Mus musculus: one gene and its partner. The protein of the gene in region 2 interacts with the protein of the main gene of each other region in a biochemical or structural test. Links are inferred from orthologs where the notes say so. Each region holds a gene or a part of one and is shown on either strand. Other genes may lie near its edges.

Region 1 (10,551 bases), on a different chromosome or scaffold from region 2:
TTTTGGAGAAATCCCTCACTGTCCACGTCAGCATAGAATATTAAGTGGGGAATCTCATAAAGCCTGCCTGCTTTCCCGCTTTCCCATGAACCTTGTTTCCCACAGACGGTACATAGCCATGTGCCACGAGAGACAGCCCACAGTGCCTGAATCTCTGGCTGACTACATCACCGCAGCATATGTGGAGATGAGGCGAGAGGCCCGGGCCAGTAAGGATGCCACCTATACTTCTGCCCGGACCCTGCTGGCCATTCTCCGACTTTCCACTGCTCTGGTGAGTGGTGGGTCCCTGTCAGCTGGAAAGCTGACCCCTGCCTGCCACCTCACCTAATGACCCTCAAGCCGCCTCCTTCCCTCCTACCAGCCCTGCTGGGACTAAAGTGCTGACAGTGCAGATAGTGGTCCTCTCTGTGCTACCGCACTGTGGGTACTTGCTGCTCCAGCAGGGCACGTGCAACGCCCATGGAGGGAAAGGCTGCTTGCTGCTTGAATCCATGAGGGCTAGGACTTGAATTCCTGGTGTCCTAGATATGATCTTAGAAATCTCCATTCTGTCCTCCCCTCTTGGACCTTAGTCATGGGGGCTCCAAAGTGCTGTTCGTGCAGGTAGTGTAATTACCTGACCTACTGCTGAGCTAGCACTTCCCGAGCCCCCAGGACACAACCTCTGATAGTGGCCCTAGCTGAGCGCCCCAGGCTCCATTTGTTTGATGGGGAGCCTAGTGGAGTTCAGAAGGGTCTGGTCTCCCTCACAGGACAGCTGAACACCCACCGGGACTGGCCAGTGTTGAGAGGCGGAGACTTGGGCAATTGCTGGACGCTGCCCTGGGCATTGCACTTGTCTCGGTCTGACAGTGCCGGCCCAACACTGCAGATGTGGGGGGGCAGGGAGGAGTCCCCATTTTTGTTCAATGAGTAGGCAAATGTGGCTTGCCCAGGCTTGAAGCTGGAGCAAAGAAAGATCCTTGACTTCATTCCCCTCCTCCCCTCCTATCCCAATCTTTTCTATGCCTTCCCCTTAGGCTCGACTTCGGATGGTAGACATTGTGGAGAAGGAAGATGTAAATGAAGCCATAAGGTTGATGGAGATGTCGAAGGACTCCCTTCTAGGTGAAAAGGGACAGACAGCTAGGTGAGGATTTTAATGAAGAGTGAGACTGGACCACTGGGCTTATTGACCTGGCTTGCCCTCAGGGTTTTGATGCTGATTGCTGCTACTGTTTGTGGCCTTGCACCTTCACCTTTTCCATCCTTGTCTTTTAGGACCCAGAGGCCAGCAGATGTGATATTTGCCACCATCCGTGAATTGGTGTCACGGGGGCGGAGTGTCCACTTTTCTGAGGCTGAACAGCGCTGCATATCTCGTGGCTTCACACCAGCCCAGTTCCAGGCAGCTCTGGATGAATATGAGGAGCTAAATGTCTGGCAGGTTAATACTTCTCGGACACGGATCACCTTTGTCTGATAGCCAGTTTTTACACCCTCCTGCCTACACCAGAGGGCATGCTGAATGCCCCCTCAAGAAAAAATCTCATTCTCCCATGCTGCACTTTTTTATTCTGCCAATAAAGTGTTTTGATTGCCTCTTGCTTGTTAATAACTCTGTAGAGTTTTTAGTATGCTCTCTCCTCCCCTAGTCTCTAGTACTGACCCTTACTATGTGCTAGTCAATCTGGGAGATAGAAGGCCTTGGGACCACTGTTTCTTGAGATGCTTCCAATTATGGACATTTCGTTTGTTAGACCCCCACATCTAGACGTGATGACACCAGGATGTGAAGGGCAGAAAGTTGCGCCTAGCACAAGGTATGACTTAAGTGGAAGGCCTAAGGATGAGGTACATATCACCCTCCTAGGTACCTTCAGGATATAGAAAAACAAGGACTTGAGATAACCACAATTACAAAGATGGAATTCAGCTTCCCTCCCCTTCCTATTTGAGAAACATTTGCAGTGAAATTAAATTAGCCTGGGAAAGCAATCTTTCTGTGGAGCTGTGACATGAATTGATCACAGAGCACAAAAACTGGAAGCAAGCAGGTCGTCCTATCACATTTTGTCTACTTCAACAAGGGGTCACCTCGAGTCATTAAAAGGTGGGTAGGTGGTCAAAAAATGTGGATTAATGGGTGAAGCTTCCTTAAGAGTCCATGTTGAGAAACCAGTGTGGTGCCTGAGAGGACAAAGCCACTGGAAGGGCTGCTAAGGGGCTGCTCTTTTATTAATGAGTTTCTCTAAAGGGAATGTGGTACTCAGGTCCATGGAACAGCTGTCTGAGCCCCACACACCATCCCTTCCAGAACCATCATCAGAAAAACAGTCCCCGCATTCGCCGGCCAATGCCTTGTCGGTCGTAGAGGACGTTGAACTTGTTCACAAACTGGTTCATTGTGTTGCACGTTTTGGTGATGGTGCCGAGGTAGGCCATGAGCCCCACGTCATTGCATTGCTGGGAGGGAACACAAAGAACCAGTTCCCCAGGGGTCCCTCGTATTAGCCAGTGACACTTGAGTTTCACCTCCTACCTGTGAGGTGGTGTGAGCCCCACCTCCCCATCAAAGGTGTCAACACTCACATCATAAAAGTCTGTCTTGAACTTGTCAGTGCTGAGAACTGGAAGACAGTGACATAGGGCATAGGCCTCCCGCAGGATCTCATGGTTGAAGGGAACCTCTCCTAAGGACACAAGGAGGCTGCACTGATGTGGATGCTGTCACTTTTCCAGGAGAGGAAAAATGTTTCAAAGTGACAGGCACCTCTCCTACCTGCTTCAGAGGCCTTGACATATTCTAAAATGAGCTTCACACGGCTGTGCAGCATCTTGATGGCACTATGCTGAGCTATCAGGTGTTCAGCCACTGCAGGGGAATGGGGCAAATGAAGGGCGGCCTGTGGCCACACCCAACCCCTACCTCCAAAGACTGAATTCCCCTCCCTTACCAGTGGAGTTCTCCCCACTGCCTGTTGCTGTCATCCGGGCCACGTGGTCTACACCGATCCGTTCAGCTTCCTCAGTGGCCAGAGTGTAAGTGAGCTCAGCAAACAGCATTGTGGCCTGCAGAGTAAAGAGTTCTCAGATAGGGAGAGTCAGGAAACAGACCTAGGCCTAGGCAGATGGCTCAGCAGGTAGAGTACTTGCTGCACAACTGAGGATCTCAATTTAGAGCCTCGGAACCCACATTAAGTGAGATGTGACAGCATGTGACTGTAATCCTGGAACCCCTACAGCAAGATGGGAAGTGGAGACACAATTCCCAGAAGCTCACAGGCCAACCTGCCTGGCAAACAAGTGAGTCTGTCCCAAGGTAGAAAGCTAGGATGGACACCCAGGGTTGTCCTATGCCTGCACACGGCATGCAGGAAACAGGCTAAAAGGTTTGAAGGTTGCAGGTTATATATTACCTCTCCATTGATTATATCGATGACAGACTCAAAAACGCTGACAGGAAGCTGTAAAAACACAGACGGAGACAAGAGAACAGCTCTTACTAAAAGCAAATGCACTTGAACTTACACACATGCCAGGCTGGCTTTGAACTCACAATCCTGCCTCAATCTCCTGAGTGCTAAGATTGGTTACAAGTGTTGTCACCACACTTGGCTCATGCTTTCTCTAGGTTTTACACACATTACATATGGAAACACCACTGAAGAGATGAAGTCACACAACTGATGGGTGTAAACAGCAGGGTAGAGATTCAACTCAAGCTTTCTCTAATACACATAATGTCGGTAAATTAGAGCAAAGGCATAGTGGCAGATGATCAAGAAAAAGGGGACATTGGGTCAACAACACTCACATCTGTGTGCTTGGTCATAGGGTTCAACTTCAGAAAGAGCGGACTCTCAATTATCTCACACACCTAGAAGATAAGGCAAAGCCCAGGAAGAGTCAGTATCTCCTCTTCCCCTAACCTTCTGTTCATTTCCCCAACATGCACATATTTGAGCTTCTATACCTGCTTATGGACGTGGATGTCTGAGGGGTCAGGTGGCCCCCCTGTGGTATACCAACCCAGAAACTCCAGCTCCTTGAAAACCTGTTTAACTGGAGAAGAAGGGGCCAGAGTAAATATTCCTTTAAACCTCTCTTCCTTAGTTTGATGGGCCTGGTGTGTTCTTTCCGGTTCTCCCCTCCCTCCTCATATTTTGGGTCAGTTTAAAATAACTACACCTAACTAACCTTGAACTTCTGACCTCTTGCCTCTATCTCCTGGGTTATATGGTACTGAGGATTGAACTCTGGTCTTCCCGAATGTTAGGAAATGCACTTTACCCCACTGCCCTACATCCTCAGGCCTTTTATTCTTTAAGACAAACAAAACAAAACAAAAATCTTCCCACTTTTCCTTCCCCACCCACTTCTATTCCCCTCTCACACTGCTCCTCCTTGGTGTAATAATATTCTTTGTCAATGATAATCTTCTCTTCCACGGTGTGGGACAGCAGCTCAAAGGAGTTCATCACTTCGATATTTCGCCCCTCCTGCTTCCCGATCAGAGCCCCAATCACTAAGGGGAGAGAAACAGAAGCGCAAGGAAACTAGGTGAGGAACAGGCGTCTCGGAAAACCTTTCCCGAGTCGGCGTGAATCAACGACTGGGGAAACAATAATTTGGAAGAAAGGGCGCAGGGGAGTGACTGGAGGAAATCTCCAAGAGATTTTGAGATTTACACACAACACTCACCCTGCATAGGCCGCCCCTCCTGGGAGCGCATGCGGATCCAATGGTCTGAGATGTTAAGGATGACAAGGGGATGAAGAGCGACGGAAACACTCCCAGTCACTCCGGAGGCCATCACGCTGGGGACTGTTAAAGGTGAAAGGAAAACATAGCGGCTGAGAGCTCGGGCCCACACATTTTCCCCTAGACATGGAAGCAGGGGACCAGCAGAGCCCGGCCGTCCATCGCTGCCCTCAAGTTATCCTGGGACAGGTTTAAGAAGTACTCAAGACCACTTCTCAAGGGCAACTCCAGAAGTCGGTCTGCGCACCCCGTTACCTGCTGCATCCACTTCCATGCCGCTGCTGCCTCCGCTCCCATTCGCCCCCGCCGCAGCTGCCGCCGCCATTTTCCCCGCGCCCGCCAGCCACGGCCCGCCCCTTTCCTTCTCGGCTTCCGTCGGGGAGCGGTGCATGCTCAGTGTATACTTGGTGCTGCTAATGGGCGGGGCAGCTGCCAGTACTTAGTAGCTCAGGGTGCTCTGCGTGTTGTGCTGCTGCTAGCGGTTCTCATGTAAACCAGCCTGGCCATGAGTTCTGTAGTGTGTATCTGAAGATGGCTTTGAACTTTGATCCTCTTGCCTTTACCTCCCAAGGAGGGCTATTAGTTTCCAGGTCTCAAGTGGATACACTGTCAATACTAAACACAGAGAAAATTGCGATCAAAAGGAGGAAAGGCTGTAAAAGGGAATGGGGAAGACAATTTATTCAGGATATAAAATTTTTCATGTTGCATATAATCTATAGAGACTTGATCACTTGTTTGTTGAGATAGGGTCTTACAATGTTGGCCAGCTGGTGGGAACTTGCTATTCGTCTAGGCAGACTTCTAGGAGATCCGCCTTCCTCTCCTTCCTGAATGCTGAGATTAAAGGTGTGTACCATACCCAGCATGCCTAGCTTTTAAAACGATGTACTGAGGATCTAAACTCAGGTCCTAACACTTCATCCCCTGAGCCATCTCCCCAGTAGTAATTACTCTTGAATTGTTCAGCTTCTTCAGTTTCAAGACAACCTCTTTACACAACTTAGCAACTGCTATTGGGAGGGCTTGTGGCCCACGCCTTTAATCACAGCCTTTAATCGAGGCGGGCAGACCTCATGAGTTCAAGGCCAGCCTGGACTACAAAGTGAGTTCCATCACAGCCAAAGCTACACAAACAAACCCTGTCGCACAAACAAAAAAAAAAAGGTGGGGGGAGGGGAAGAGTTGCCTTGGTCATGGTGTCTCTTTACAGCAATAGAACAGTGATTAAGACAATTACTTGTAACAAAAAAGAAAACCAAAAAAAAAAAAAAAAAAAAAAGACAATTACTTGCCCAGCATGGTGGCACACGCCTTTAATCCCAGCACTTGGGAGGCAGAGGCAGGCGGATTTCTGAGTTCGAGGCCAGCCTGGTCTACAGAGTGAGTTCCAAAATAAAAAAAATAAAAATAAAAATAAAAATAAAAGAAAACGTTTCCTACTTGGACAATAACTAAGGCTAAGCGACCTGCTTAAATAGCCAAGAAAGAGTATTTGGTCCACAATCATTCATTTGGGGCCAATAACAGCCATTTTTTTAAATTTTTATTTTGGTTTTTCGAGACAGGGTTTCTCTGTATAGCCCTGGCTGTCCTGGAACTCACTTTGTAGACCAGGCTGGCCTTGAACTCAGAAATCTGCCAAGTGCTGGGATTAAAGGTGTGCGCCACCACCGCCCGGGCTACTTTTTATTTTTATTTATTTATTTTTTTTACTAATCACAGTCACTGAAGTATGTGCTTTGGACCAATCATGGCTTTGCACTGATTCGCAGTAGTCCTTCCACTAGGGAAAGGGCTCCCTTCCTGTCACGCTGGAAATGCTTTCAGGTTCATCTACATTTCATAGGGGTCTATGACAGCAAAATATCTGGTAACAACTATGTCAAATACACTGGAAAATCAGCTTCAATCTTTACACAGCTGTCTCAAGACTTCTGTTGTGTGTCCCAGATTGCTGGTGCTAGTCTAAGGGTCATCTAGCTAACTTATGAGACTGACAGTCCTTTTCCTCAGGGCAGCCTGGACAGTGAGAGAGATGGGTACAATAGATGATAATTAGATAGTTAAGTTGCCCTATTCCCAATGTCTTTGGTTAGTTACATGAAAATAAACCTTGGGAGTTTTTATACTATAAACCTAAAGAGATTTCCATTAGAGGAAAAACTGAAGGAAGGGAAGGTCATCATTAGTGCTAACAGCAATTTAACAATATTCTTAAAACACTCAACCCCTGTCTAGAGCTCAAGGAAAGCTGGGTTCCCTTCATCTGTCTTGGAATGATTTTTTTTTTTTTTTGCAGATTTTAATAATGTATTAAAAAGTCAGGCAGTGGTGGAACACACCTGTAGTCCTAATACTCCGGAGGCAGAGGCAGGCAGATCTCTGGAGTTTGAGGCCAGCCTGGTCTACAAACCAAATGCCAGAACAGCCAGGGCTACACAGAGAAACCCTGTGTACTGGCTGATTTTATGTGTCAACTTGACTCAGGCTGGGGTTATCACAGAGAAAGAGCTTCAGTTGGGGAAGTACCTCCATGAGATCCAGCTGTGGGATATTTTCTCAATTAGTGATCAAGGGGGAAAGGCCCCTTGTGGGTGGGACCATCTCTGGGCTGGAAGTCTTGGGTTCTATAAGAGAGCAGGCTGAGCAAGCCAGGAGAAGCAAGCCAGTAAAGAACATCCCTCCATGGCCTCTGCATCGGCTCCTGCTTCCTGACCTGCTTGAGTTCCAGTCCTGACCTCCTTTGGTGATGAACAGCAATGTGGAAGTGTAAGCTGAATAAACCCTTTCCTCCCCAACTTACTTCTTGGTCATGATGTTTGTGCAGGAATAGAAACCCTGACTAAGACACCCTGCCTCGAAAAACAAAACAAGCTGGGTGTGGTGGGGCACACCTTTAATCCCAGCACTTGGGAGGCAGAGGCAGGAGGATTTCTGAGTTCGAGGCCAGCCTAGTCTACAGAGTGAGTTCCAGGACAGCCAGGGCTACACAGAGAAACCCTGTCTCGAAAAACAAACAAACAAACAAACAAACAAACAAACAAAACGAATGAAAGAAAGAAAAACAAAACAATAATAGTGTATAGAAGAACACCTTTGTTTTTTACTCTATTTTGAGTGTGTAAGTGTGTGTGTATGTGTGTGTATAATGTGCATACCCCAGCATAGGTCAGAGGACAGCTAGAGTTTCAGAATGATACCCTGTTTAATTAATTAATTGACTAAGTAAAAGAGTCTATTGGAACATGTTAGGCTTGGGCTTAGGACTAGTCAGGCTATACTGACTTGCAGAGCCTCTTTCTTCATCCTCACAGCTTCTGCAAAAAATAAAAAATAAACTCTGACCAGTCTGCAATCCTCACTTCCCCTAAGGCGGTGCACCAAACCCCAGCAATCGGCGGTTACAGGCGGCACATCTCATATGATAGACACGCATTAGCTAAAGAAACAAACTTTTCCTCTTTCCCTTGGAGCTAGAGTCATAGGTGGTTGTGAGTGTACAGACATGGGTACTGGGAAATGAACTCCAGTCCTGGAATAAGAGTGCGTGCCTCTATCGTGTACTATTGACTAGTCATTCATGACATGGAATGGGGTTACCTACCTCTCTAAAACCTGTAAGATGCAATAGTACTCCTTACTCCTGTTAGTCTCCCGGCCTGAAATCTCTTCACAACTTCCAGCACAATCTCTGTAGCATTAATAATGCTTAAAATAAATTGTTTACCCCCAAACCACAATATGTCTCAGGGTACCTCTTGAACCCCAAATGTGAGCCTTTATAGGAAGCTCATTTTAAATATGTGTTTGTTAATTATTATCATTTGTTTTGAGACCGAGTTTTAGTGTGCAATTGAGGCTGGCCTCAAACTTTTGACTATCTTTCTGTTTCAGGCTCTAAAGTACTGCAATTACAGATGTGTACCCCACGTCAGGCTCGTAAGTGCAGAATCACTTATGTGTCTCATGTAGCCCAAGCTGGCTTTGAACTCAGTATGTACTGAAGAACGAACTTGAGTCCTTGATCTTCCTGCCACCACCTCCCAAATGCTAGGAATACAGTACTGTACCATATTGTCTGGTTTATGCACCATTGGGGATGGGGACCCAGGGCTTCAGCCAGGCTAGTCAAGCAATCTAAAAGCAAAGCTGTGGGCTGGAGAGATGGCTCAGTGGTTAAGAGCACTGACTGCTCTTTCGAAGATCCTGAGTTCAAATCCCAGCAACCACATGGTGGCTCACAACCATCTGTAATGAGATCTGACGCCCTCTTCTGGGGCATCTGAAGACAGCTACAGTGTACTTAGATATAATAATAATAATAAGTAAATCTTTAAAAAAAAAAAAAGTACTGGCTGCTCTTCCAGAGGACCCAGATTCCATGCACTCATATGGCCACTCATTACCGTAACTCCAGTTCCAGAAGATGTGATGGCTTCATCTGACCTATATCTGAATCAGGTGTGTGTGTATGTGTGTGTGTATGCAGGAGAAAAACACTCATTAAAATACTAAATCTTCAAATAAATATTAAATCTATTAAAATAATTTTTTGTCTTGCTTTTTTTGAGACAGGGTTTCTCTATGTAGCCCTGGCTGTCTGGAACTCACTCTGTGACCAGCCTGGCCTCGAACTCAGAAATCTACCTGCCTCTGTCTCCCAAGTGCTGGGATTAAAGGCGTGCACCACCACTGCCTGGTTAAAATAAATCTTTTAAAAACTGAGTGCTGAGTGCTTTAAAAAAAAACCCATGGTGCTATTTTGGATATAATATCATTAGCACCAACATAAATTCCAAATTTTAAAAATATAACTATTATACTTATCAAGCAGTGGAGAAATCATGTTAAAAAGGTAATCCTTTTTTCTACTATAAGAAGTTTTGAAATAAAATATTTTCTTAATTAGTGAGAATGTTCAAAATAATTAAAGAAAAATTGATGAGTAAAAAAAAAAAAACAAAAAAACAAAAAAAAAAAAAAAACAAAAACGGGGGCTGGAGACATGGCTCAGTGGTTAAGAGCACTGACTGCTCTTCCGGAGGTCCTGTGTTCAAATCCCAGCAACCACATGGTGGCTCAAAACCATCTGTAACAAGACCTGACTCCCTCTTCTGGTATCTGAAGACAGCTACAGTGTACTTACATATAATAAATAAAATAAATCTTAAAAAAAAAAAAACCAGAAAAACAAAACAAAAACCAAAACCCATGGTGCACTTTTATTTATTTATTTTTTTGTTTGTTTGTTTTGTTTTGTATCATAGGCCAGGCTGGCCTCACAGAGATCTGCCTGACTGTGCTTCCCCAGCGCTGGGATTAAAGGCGTGCGCCATCACGACCAGCCAATGGTGCACATTTATATTAAAGGATTCTTCAAGTTTCATATATTTGCTATGGAGGTGATGGTGTACTCTCTCTCTTGCTATGGAGGTGATGGTGTACTCTCTCTCTCAGAGCCACTAGAACTTGTGCCCTGAATTTCCTGGACCTCCAACTTCTTCAGCTTACGCATCGTCCCTTCCCAACCTGGCCAGCAAGTGGCGCAGTCTGGTGCCCTTGTTTCCCAGCACCATCGAGAACAGCACCATCAGCGTACCATCGAGAGATGAAGACCTCCCATTTTCCTAGAGAGAGCAAGTGGGCATTTGTTGTCCTGGGTGGTGAGAAAGGACGACCCGGAAACGATATGGGGAGGGGCAGTTTCCGTTCTTTGTTCTGTTCTCCGTTGTGTGGGTCTGTAACAGGGTCCAACAGGACCTGTTTCGTGTCCGGCCCCCTAAGTCTTACGTCCCTGTCCCC
Region 2 (10,737 bases):
TTCAAGGCCAGCCTGGTCTACAGAGTGAGTTCCAGGACAGCCAGGGCTACACAGAGAAACCCTGTCTCAAAAAAACAAAACAAAAAAAAGAGAGAGAGAGAAAGGACTGGACAGGGTTGTCCACCCGTCTCTGGAGGAGCACGAGAGGGCTGCAGGTTAACCCTTCTGTGAGCAGGGACTCACCCTGCTGCTCCTCCCAGGATGGCCCATTTCCTCCTCCTCTGCTCTCTCCATTGCAGTCTCCAGTTTGCTTAAAAGCCATATCCTTTGTTGGGTTTTGTTTTGTTTTTTGACCTCAGGCAAGATGTGGCTTCTTGGGCAACCATTTTTTAGCTCTTCCACTATGTCTTAGCACGCAGGCCTTCTTATAACCACACACTTAGCACCAGCGGAAGACAAGTCCTGTCTTGCTCACTTTCCGCACTCAGTCACCTTGACTCACCCCAGATGGTGGCCCAGCCTTTCCCTCTTCTCCAGAGCCCTGCAGTTATCAGCTTCAGTTCCAGGTTATCACTAGTCTGGGCAAGAGTGCTTCCTTCTCAGGACTCCACAGCTTAGACCTGAAAGCCACCGAGGGTGGAAAACACACCCTAGAGATTCTAGCATGTTTAGTGTGTGTATGTGCACAAGTGAGTACCATGTGCATGTGAGTGTACCAAAGTCATAAGACTTTTTTTTTTTTTTTAATTTGAGACAGGGTTTCTCTGTGTAGTCCCAGCTGTCCTAGAACCTGCCTCTGCCTTCCCAGTGCTGGAATTAAAAGGTGTACAGTACCACCATTTGGTTTATGTAGGAACTTGGTTGCTGGTGGCCTCCAGTTAGCACTTTTCATAGTGGCTGCCTATGCTTCCTGCTTTCTCCCACCCTCCTGAAAACAGATTGGGTGGCCCAGTGGTGGAAATGATGGGCTATTACCTTTTATGGTACTGGAGATCAAACCCGGATCAGGCATCTATTCCACTGAGTTACACTCAAGCCTGTTGGCTCACAACTTAATTGCAGCCTTGTGAGAAACACTGAAGTGAGAATTCTTACCATACAACCCCAGCGACAATATGCTGAGGGATTCTGTTTTGAGACAAGGGGTTGCTACGCAGACCTGGGTAGCCTGGTACCATGTAGCCCAGGCTAGCCTCAAACTTGTAGCAATTCTGCCTCAGCGTCTAAATGCAGGGATTGCAGGCACACACCACCATGCCTAGTGAAAATGCTGCCGTAAGCTTCTTACAGTTCAGGCTGGTCTCCCGCACACGGTGACAGAATGCTTTATGTCTTCCTACACTCCACTCTACCAACCCGTTAGACTACTCACCCAAGTGGAGAAAAATCTCCCTCCCACCTAGGAGTCTGTTGCCTTTTAATGTATGGATTTCATGGGATTTTCTTGAGTTGTTATTGTGGACAAGTGTGCGCCTCTGTTCAAGCAAATGCAGGTGCCAATCATTAAACCCTCATGGAGTTGAAGTTACAGGCAGTTGTAAGCCATGTATTATGGGGGTTGGGAATCCACCTTGGGTCCTTTGCAAGAGTAGTATGCACTCTTAAACACTGAGCCATGTCTCCCATCTCTGGAATTTCTGATCTCTAACAGAATTTTATAACTACCACATAGGAAGCTCCAGGTCAGTTTCTGCTATATGGCAAGATCCTGTTTCAAAGGACAAAGGAAAAAACTCTATAAAACACCAACTGTAGGTATGTACCGTGGCGACCCACACCTATAGTCCCAGCACTTGGAGACAGAAGACAGTCCGGAAATCCTTCTCCAACCAAAGCAAACTAAACAGACCGAGCAGAGCAATGGGTGGGGAGCAATTTCCATCACACAGTGAAACCAAAAACCCAGATAAAAAACCTATGGAAACCCAGTACTTTGTAAGCTAATTTCTAGTTTTAAAATTTCAAGGTTTTCTAGGGAGGATCTGGAGAGAGACTCTGCAGTTAGGAGCACTTGCTGCTCTTGCAGAGAACCCAGGTTCTATTCCCAGCACCCACACAGTGGCTCAGAACTCTGTAACTCCAGGTCCTAGTATCTGAGGCTCTCTTTTGGCCTCTGCTGGCACCACTATGGCACACATATGTTGCACAGATAGAAGCAAGCAAACACACACATTAAATTAAAAATTTAGGGCTGGAGAGATGGCTCAGTGGTTCAAAGTGCCAACTGCTCTTCTGAAGGTCATGACTTCAAATCCCAGCAACCACATGATGGCTCACAACCATCCATAATGAGATCTGATGCTCTCTTGTGGTGTGTCTGAAGATAGCTGCAGTGTGCTTACATATAAGTAAATAAATCTTTTTTTTTTTTTTTTAATTTAGCCAGGCGTGGTGGCTCACACCTTTAATCCCAGCACTAGGGAGTAAGAGGCAGGCAGATCTCTATAAGCTCGAGGCCAGCCTGGTCTACAGAGCAAGTTCCAGAACAGCCAGGGCTACACAGAGAAACCCTGTCTTGAAAAACCAAAACCAAAACAGAAACGAAAACCAACTGAGCACTCACTTCTTCCCCAGCAATTATCCTCCCTTCCCCTATGTCCCGGAAGCAGGAGGCCTCCTGGAGCATAAAAACCACACTGCACTGGGCTGTGAGGGACAGGTATCAACAGTCCCCCTCTTCCTTAGGAATAAAGCCAGGCAGAGGATTTTAGAGCTGTTAACTGTAGGCTGGTCTGGAACCAACCTACAAGAAAAGATTTAACTAGATTAAAAGGGATCTGAGGAGTAGCTCAAAACATCAGAAACTGGCGTCGATTTCAGAGGCAAGAGAATCAACTAGCTTATTTCAGAAAGCTAAGAGCCAAGAGTGTAAACTAAATCAAGTTTGGTGGTGCACACCTGTGATCCCAGTGCTCTGCTGGAGGGAAGATGGCATCCTGAATCCAAGGCCATCCTGAAATACAAGACTGTCTCAGAACTACAGTAACAACCCCCAAACACACACACCAAACCACCACCAGGACTTTGCCCCTACTTTCTGGTCTAATGACAGCAAGCTTTGGAAGCAGTTAAGAGTAATTTGTCTATAACCAGGCATGGTGGTTACATGTCTTTAATCCCAGCACTCTGGAGCAGAGGTAGGTAAATCTCTTAAGTTGAGCCAGTCTGATCTACAGAGTGCATTTCAAGAGAGCCAGGGCTATAGAAAGACCATGTCTCGAAGGAAGGAAGGGAGGGAGGGAGGGAGGGAGGGAGGGAGGGAGGAAGAAATTTGTCCTGAATCCCCAGCTAGAAAAAAGCCCAGGCCCAGTCAACACTAGACCCACTAGGCTCTCGGACAGCACTTCACACTTGAGTGAGGGTTCAATTGTGCTTCAAGTTAGTACTTCCTGCCTCTAGGGGCAAGGAGCACTCTAGGCCAATCTCCTGGCATACATACTTCTTGGAAACTCTTTTAATTTGGACAAAAGGGACAGAGACCAACAAATCTAATCGTTTTATGTGCTTTCAATGTCAAAAGTCAAGTTCACTACCAACACCTCCCTTGTGATTCTCTGAGGTGACAGGAAGCAGACCACACTGCAGGTCCTTGGGCAGGACAGTCAGTGATGGTGTCTGCATCTCCATTGTTAGGACATGGCGGTGTTCAGCAGGTGCCCGTGACTGCTGACCATGGGCTGAGGGATGGAGCAATCTGTCCAGGGTCTAGGCCTCCTAGCTGCTAGGCCCAGAGTCTGCAAAGTGTCTGGTTCTTTTCACTTGGCACTTGGCTTTACAGTGGACTGGGGATTAATCTTCTCCCTGTTAACAAACATCAAAGACAGAAGAGGCCCAGTTCCTGGCATTTTTGTACATAGATTTCTCATAGATTTATTTCTGTGTCATGTGTCAATATATATAGACCTATTCATATATATTTTTTATTTTTAATATACAATCTATATTTCCTTCCCCACCAGAACCACAGGAGGAGATATAAATCCTTCCAGGATTTCCATTGGGCTTCCTAAGATGATGAGCAACAAAGAACCATTTCTTAACATCTCAAAAATAGCTGTTCTCAGGCTCTGGGGTCACTGAAGCAGCAGTATCCCCAGGCCCAAGGAGATGAGAGAGGAAAGAAACAATTGTAGTGTGATGGGGTTCTGGGAGGAAAATGTCCAGCGACTCCCAGGGTAGCAGACTGGCTCCAGAACTCTAAGGCTGGAATGAAGGTGGAGACCCCCTTCCCCATGGCTTTTCAGATGCAGCCCACTAGGCAAGGGGAGGAGGAGGAACTGCAGATTAGGCATGCAGGGGTAGGTGTGGGTGGTTAAGAGCCAGCACCCTCCATAGGACTGCCAACCTGCTCAATGACAGGGGTAATGGGCAGACACAGTGCGGAAAAACGATGAGAGCAAGCGTGCTGGGGAAGAGCATGGAACACATAAGAGGTACCAACAGAACATGACCTGCACTGGCCTCCTCCCTACAGAGGGTGTGGCTTATGCTTGGGGGTGGAGGAGATGAAAAGTAATGAACTAGCATTATCAGCTGGCCAGGGGCACAGGAAGGCTCTGAGGACTCCTAAGGGGTAGGCAGGTAGGCAGCTGGGACCCCACATTCCCAGGGAAGAAACAAGTCCTTTCAGTTCGACTTGGACCAAATCTTGGCGCTCCCTCGGAGTCTGGCAAGGGGAAGAGAGAGAGAGGGGATGCAAGGGGTCCCCTAATTCCTAGAGGACACCCCCACTCCCGACCCCATGCAAATGACTAAAGCAGTGGAGCAGCCAGGTCCCTGAGGTAAAAGTGGGGTACCCAGAGACAAGTGGCTCCCGCATGGGCTCACCCCTTGCCCTTGGAGGCTTTCTTGCTGGGCTGGCGCTGGTTGGTGCCAGAAGCTGGTTCTCTCAGCTCTGTCAGGTGTTGCTCAGGATCCTGGGAGGTGGCTGCAGCAGCAGCTGCTGTCGTAACTTTAATGGTTTTCTTAAGGTTGGCAACCTATCAGGATGAAAGGAATGAGGGATAGCCAAAGGAGGTTCTGGAACCGGACGGGCCCTGATGATTTTATCAGTCGGCCTCAGCCCCATCGCAGCCCGAGTACCCAGGCTGGGGAGCTGCAGTCCATCCTGTCTGCTCACCTCACTTTCGATCTGCTGCTTCAGGCCCAGCTGCTGCTCCTTGTGCTGGTTGGCACGGCTGACCTGCTCTTCGATGCCCGACAACACAACCTCACAGCCCACGCACCTGTGGGAAGCAGGCAGATGAGAAGTCAGCAGGAGGCGGCAGTCATCACAGCCTCATAAAAACAAAGCAAACAAAAGCAAAAGTCTCAAAAGCTGGCCTCTAGGCTGGACTGAAAACCCTCGCCTGAGCTGGCAGCTCTCGCCAGGGCACCTGGGAACTAGCTACAACAGAATTCTTTTTTGTTTTGTTTTTGAGACAGGGTTTCTCTGTGTAGTCCTGGCTGGCCTGGAACTCACTCTGTAGACCAGGCTGGCCTCGAACTCAGAAATCCGCCTGCCTCTGGCTCCCAAGTGCTGGGACTAAAGGCGTGAACCACCACGCCCGGCTACAACAGGATTCTTTCTCCTCAGCAAACCCCAGGGCAGGAGAAGAAAGGGATAAGCAAGTGTCCTGGACAAGGTGGGTGGGGGTGGAGTGCTCGGAGAAATGGCTCAGGGGTGGAAGCTGCACTCACACTCACCTATAACCCCTCTACCTCTCTATCACACACACATAACTAAAAAGAAATCAAAATAACAAGATGAGAGCAGGAACCAGAAAACAAAACGGGAGAGTCAGGCATGGTGGGTACAGCAGCACACACCTGTAAGCTTAGAACCAGGAAGCAGAGGCAAGATTTCCAATTCAAGGCCAGCTTGGGGTACACAGTGAGATCACAATGAAGTTACACAGGGATACAAAGAAGAGAAGAGACCCATCGCGGCCCCTGGTGTTATTATGTGCAGTTGCCCTAAACTCAGCGTATGACAGTGACAAGCCTCCAGCTAGTCAAGAGCACAGCTCCATTCCTTTGCCCAGTTCCTGCCCAACAACCCTGACTCTGCGCCCAGGGCCCCCTTAGAGCCTCTGTCCCCTCAGAAACCCTGAGGAGAAAGCACTCTCCTAGGCTCCCCCTCCCCAGCCAGTCCCTGCTCTCCTGCTTGTATAAGGGAGGGTCAAGGCCTGACAAGTAAGTTCTCACCACTCTTGCAGGGTCTGGGCGATGGCACTGAGGTCCTGGCGCTGGATGTCCCGCCCGATGCTGTAATCAACCTCTAGCCGCTGATTGCGCTGGTCCAGAGAGCCACGAAGGACATCAGCATACACAGCCTCGATCACAAGGTCTTCCAGCTGGCGCACGTTTCGAAGGGCAAGGGCCTCCAGCAACACTGCATATGGGATACACTGGGTCCAGAGGTTAGACCGGAATTTGTGGGGTTCAAAAGCAGAGGAGGATTTCCCAGAATCCTCTTCCAGTTTTTCCCCAATGTCCAGGCCCACATCCCTCCACTCCTATCCGTAAGCCATTTTCTGGAAAATGTTGGTTCTAAAGCAAAACCCTATTACGGCCTCAAAAACATCACCAGAAAAGAATAATCTTCCTTCCTTTTCTTTCATGGCGTTCTGACACAGGGTCTCATTCTATAGCCCAGGCTGGCTTGGAACTCATTATGTAGTCCAGGCTAGACTTGACCTCACATTAATCCTTTTGCTTCAGAGTCCCAAGCGCTGGGCCGACATGAGACACGGCACCAGACTCAAAAAGGACAATCCAAAAACATGTGGTAGATGCTCTCCTATGCCCACCTCCCACTATATAGTGAAAGAACGAGTGTGACATCTTCCTGGTGCCATTTCTTTGGCTGTAGCTAAGGAAACTGTTTTTGATCAGCTTGACATCAGAGGATAGATAGGAGGGGTCTGGAGTTTCTGTTTATCATGTTGACTTAGCCATGTTACAAACTGGAATGACCTTGGGGAAGAATCTACAACCACAAGCCTAATTCCAGCAAAAATCACCAGGACTCAATTCTAGTTAACAACTGGGAGAATGTGATATAAAAAGTCTGTGCCCACAGGGGCACACAGGTACTGTAGGTCACACACATCTTACTATAGTAAGTAGAGAAGGACCCCAGTTCTAGCTCTGAGGCTCTGTTGGCCTGGAACTCCATCTGATGAATGAGCCGGCCAGCCTTCTAGTGGCTATTTTTACCCCAATCACAAAAGACGATGACTTAGAACTTCAGTTCAAACTGACAGACTCCTAACTAAGTGACTGCAGAAATGGAGTTTCAGTTCAGACCCAGACAGGGGAGGCCAATGGCTCTCCTTAGACTCCCTGGATTCACAACAGGTCGTCTCTGGCTTTGGACTGGCAGCTGGCAAGGCTGTCACTTACCTTGACTTTGGCAGCCAGAGTGACAACTGACAGATGTCGAAGCTTATTCTTCTGTGCGTCAGTCAGTGGGGGGAGATTCCTGGCTTCAGCTAGAGACAGGGAGAGAAGCCCGGGAATCTTGTTTTTAGCAGTTTCCTACAAGTTTTCTGTACCAATTATGGTCTAACACTGCAGAGGTTCACTTATGGCATCGTAGTAGGTATTTCTTCCAAGTCTCTCCAGAACCACCCTTCTCCTGTCTCCACAGCTCTGGCCCCTATTTACCTAAGTAGTCCGCATAGGTCCCATAGGCAAACACTGTGAGCAGCCGGAAGGTGGAGGCAAAGTCGCTTTCTGCCAGCTGCAAGAACGTGAGGGAGGAAGTGACAAGAAGGCCCTGATCTTACCCCATCCATCCCAACAGTACCTATCCTGGTCCCTCAGCTGCTCATCTCTACTCTGGCCCTTTGCTGCGCTAAGCAGCTAATTCCTACTCTCAGAGCTTAAAACTTTCAGTGTTGTGACTATTACAGGTGCACACGCGTACACCAGACATCGTAAACTGTGTGGCCCCCAGAGGGTATAGTGTGGCCACTGCTTCGCAATGTCCTCATAGTGAGGGCTTACTTCATCCACAGCATCTCCCTTCCTGTCACCCCCACTTATCCTGGCATACCATCCCTGTAGGTTCTCACTTAACAGTCTTTTAACAAGGCATTAGACCCAGCAGAGCTGCAGCCCTCGCAGTAAATAACTGATAAATGGCTGACTTGCTGACATATATTTTCATTCACTTATCTGATCTCTTTCACTGGCATCTACTTCATCCTAACGATATACTTCAGTTTACTGTGGATAAAATCAGCAACAAAAGCCAGTGTTTTGTAAAACAGCAGTCAAAGTAACTTTCTATCCTGATTCAACCAAAGGTCTTCTAATGCTTGGCTCAGTTTAGCCACACACTTCGGTCAGGCTCTCGTGACAGGCTGGTGTCACGAGAGTGGCAATCCACCTGCTCTATGCTTTCTAAGTTCTTGACGCAGCCATTTCTGTGAGTGGTTCTCATTACTGTGTTCATAGCTTTGCTACCGTCTTAGGGCAGAAGACAGCATCTTCATTTTCTACCTTAAATGAATCAGAATGTGTGACACTTTGGGGGTGGGGTGGGGTACCATGGCATAATTCAATATGCTCATTCTTTCTGATTTCAGGGGACTTTAGACTTCCCCACAATGTTACTTCTGTAACCGTGAAGGGAACTGTGTGCTTTTTTAGGTTTTTCCTCATTGCAGTTCTGAGAACTGAACCTATACTGAGCCTTGCAAACTACAGACAAGGGCTCTTTCACTGAAAAGACCCCCACTCCTTTTTGAGATGGAGTCTAAGTTGCCCACGCTGATCTAAAAAGTTGTGGTCCCCTATCTCAGCATCCCAAGTTCCGAAATCGAAGCCAAGGCCTCACAAGTGCTAAGCAACTACTCTATCAGCAGTTAGATTCTCACCACCATTTTAAAGAGAAAACTGAGGGTTTTCTGATCCAGGTTTTCTGACTTATTTTGTTTTTAAGATAGGGTTTCTCTGTGTAGCCCTGGCTGTCCTGGAACTCAATCTGTAGACCAGGCTGACCTACAACTCAGAGATCCAACTCTTTCTACCTCCCAAATGTTAGTGACAGGATTATTAAGAGGTATCACTAGGCAGGCATGGTAGCACAAGTCTTTAATCCCAACACTCGAGAGGAAGAGGCAGAGGATCTCTGAGTTGAAGGCCAGCCTGGTCGACAGAGAGAGTTCCAGAACACAGTTATAGTACATAGAGAAACCCTGTCCTGAAAAAAAAAAAAAAAAAAAAACCAACACAAAAAGATATCATACTGGTGGACAAGCTGGAGTTTATCAGTGGTATTCTTAATGACTTGTTCTTTTGCTTCAAAATTAAAGATTTCTGCTTGCTTCAGCAACACATATACTAAAACTGGAACGATCCCGAGAAGATTAGCATGGCCCCTGAGCAAAGACGACACTCCAATTTGTAAAGCGTTCCATATTTTTAAATAACAAAAAAAATTATGCATGAGACATAGGCAGGGATTTCCCACACATTCAAGGCCACCTTAGACCATAGTTACTAGTTTAGGGCAGCCAGGACTACACAGTGAAATCCTGACTCAAAGTGTGGGTACAGAGGGAGGGAGCACTAAGTTTACAGACCCTTTATCTGTAAGATAATGAAGACCTTTATTTGATTGATTTATTTTTCCATGTTGAGAGCTAATTATCGGTACCCCGATCACCTGAGTGGTTACTGGGTACAAAAAACGAGCCCAGCACTCAAGAGTTAACTTTGGTCCCAACGTTCTTTGGGGACTACCCAGGCAAGCAACACACCTCTCTAACATTAGGCATATCCAGCAGTTCCCCAAACACGTAGACACCAGGGGCCTCCAGCACCTGGTGGATGAGTGTGGCCAGTGCCGCCCCCTTAGCCGACTTGGCAAGGAGCAGAAACTGCTCTTGGTTCTGCCCTGTCACCTTCACCTCCGCACTCATGGCTGCGCCGAGGTGCGGGGCTCTGGCCTCAAGATTTCTGGAGCTGCAAGGAAAGAGGAACGTGAAACTAAAGGTCCCTGGACCCTGCGAGGGTGGTCAGCTCGAAGGGACGGGAGCTGCACGCTCAAGAGGGACCCCGCCACATCCGCAGTGAGTAAGTGGGGTCCTGAGGTCTAAAAGGCAACTCGAGGGCTCCTCCAAGCCAGCCCCATCCTGGCTGCCACGCCCACCCGCTCCGTCATCCCGGGCCCAGTCCCAAGCCCCACCACGTGCACCCCATTGAGTTCCAAGACTGATGAACCAGGGAAGGGAGAGATAGCACATGGTGTCTACCGGACGACGACGAACCCCCACTTCGGGACGCGAGTCGTGCACGTGGCCGCCCCCACGTGACCTCACCTCCTCGCGCCTGACTCGCGGCTCCACCCCCTCCCTTAAAGAGGCAGCCCCGGGACCGGCCGGGGTCTGCGCCCAAGGCCAGGTCGTACCCCCGGACCGACTGCAACCGACGGCTACCTGGAAGCCTCGTCTCCCAGCGCACGGGGCGGGGCGGCCGCTCCGTCACCTCCGGCAGCGGCTCCCAAGCCTTTCCTGCCACCTCCCCGCAGGGCCGCTCTAGCCGCTCGCTTCTATGGCCAGCTTCCGGCCGTACTTCCGCTCTCGGGAGGCGGGTTCCGGGCGGCTCCGGCCTGCTTCCGTTTCCGGACCGCGGGAGGCGCGAGAGCGGCGCCCATCTTCCGCTCTGTCCGTGCATCTTTATGGGTGCGAGAGCGGTGAATGCAGGGTGCGGAGAGGACCTCGGCTCTGCGGAGGTCCGGGGGAGCGACCCTCCCGGGAGCTGCAGGACAAGGCAGGATGGCGGCCCCGAGTTCCTGCGGCGACG

The links.
Region 1: the proteins of Cops7a (region 2) and Cops6 form a complex in vitro, tested with the Homo sapiens proteins (3 studies listed by BioGRID, with this or other methods). The link is inferred for Mus musculus from reciprocal best matches to the Homo sapiens genes COPS7A and COPS6.

Annotation. Positions count from the first base shown.
Region 1 is NC_000071.6:138,155,633-138,166,183, reverse strand, and holds Cops6 (COP9 signalosome complex subunit 6), read right to left. Parts: upstream 5,083-10,551; 5' UTR 5,072-5,082; coding exon 5,002-5,071; intron 4,810-5,001; coding exon 4,687-4,809; intron 4,511-4,686; coding exon 4,379-4,510; intron 4,048-4,378; coding exon 3,959-4,047; intron 3,863-3,958; coding exon 3,800-3,862; intron 3,450-3,799; coding exon 3,402-3,449; intron 3,055-3,401; coding exon 2,940-3,054; intron 2,858-2,939; coding exon 2,765-2,857; intron 2,676-2,764; coding exon 2,575-2,675; intron 2,449-2,574; coding exon 2,308-2,448; 3' UTR 2,200-2,307; downstream 1-2,199. Other genes in the region: DNA replication licensing factor MCM7, read left to right, coding at 106-274, 1,023-1,132, 1,264-1,465. UniProt on the Homo sapiens protein: Component of the COP9 signalosome complex (CSN), a complex involved in various cellular and developmental processes.
Region 2 is NC_000072.6:124,955,032-124,965,768, forward strand, and holds Cops7a (COP9 signalosome complex subunit 7a), read right to left. Parts: upstream 10,482-10,737; 5' UTR 10,371-10,481; exon of another isoform or gene 10,254-10,370; intron 10,236-10,253; exon of another isoform or gene 10,121-10,235; intron 9,898-10,120; 5' UTR 9,855-9,897; coding exon 9,693-9,854; intron 9,357-9,692; exon of another isoform or gene 9,252-9,356; intron 7,667-9,251; coding exon 7,591-7,666; intron 7,416-7,590; coding exon 7,327-7,415; intron 6,330-7,326; coding exon 6,127-6,329; intron 5,166-6,126; coding exon 5,060-5,165; intron 4,920-5,059; coding exon 4,768-4,919; intron 4,607-4,767; coding exon 4,567-4,606; 3' UTR 3,785-4,566; downstream 1-3,784.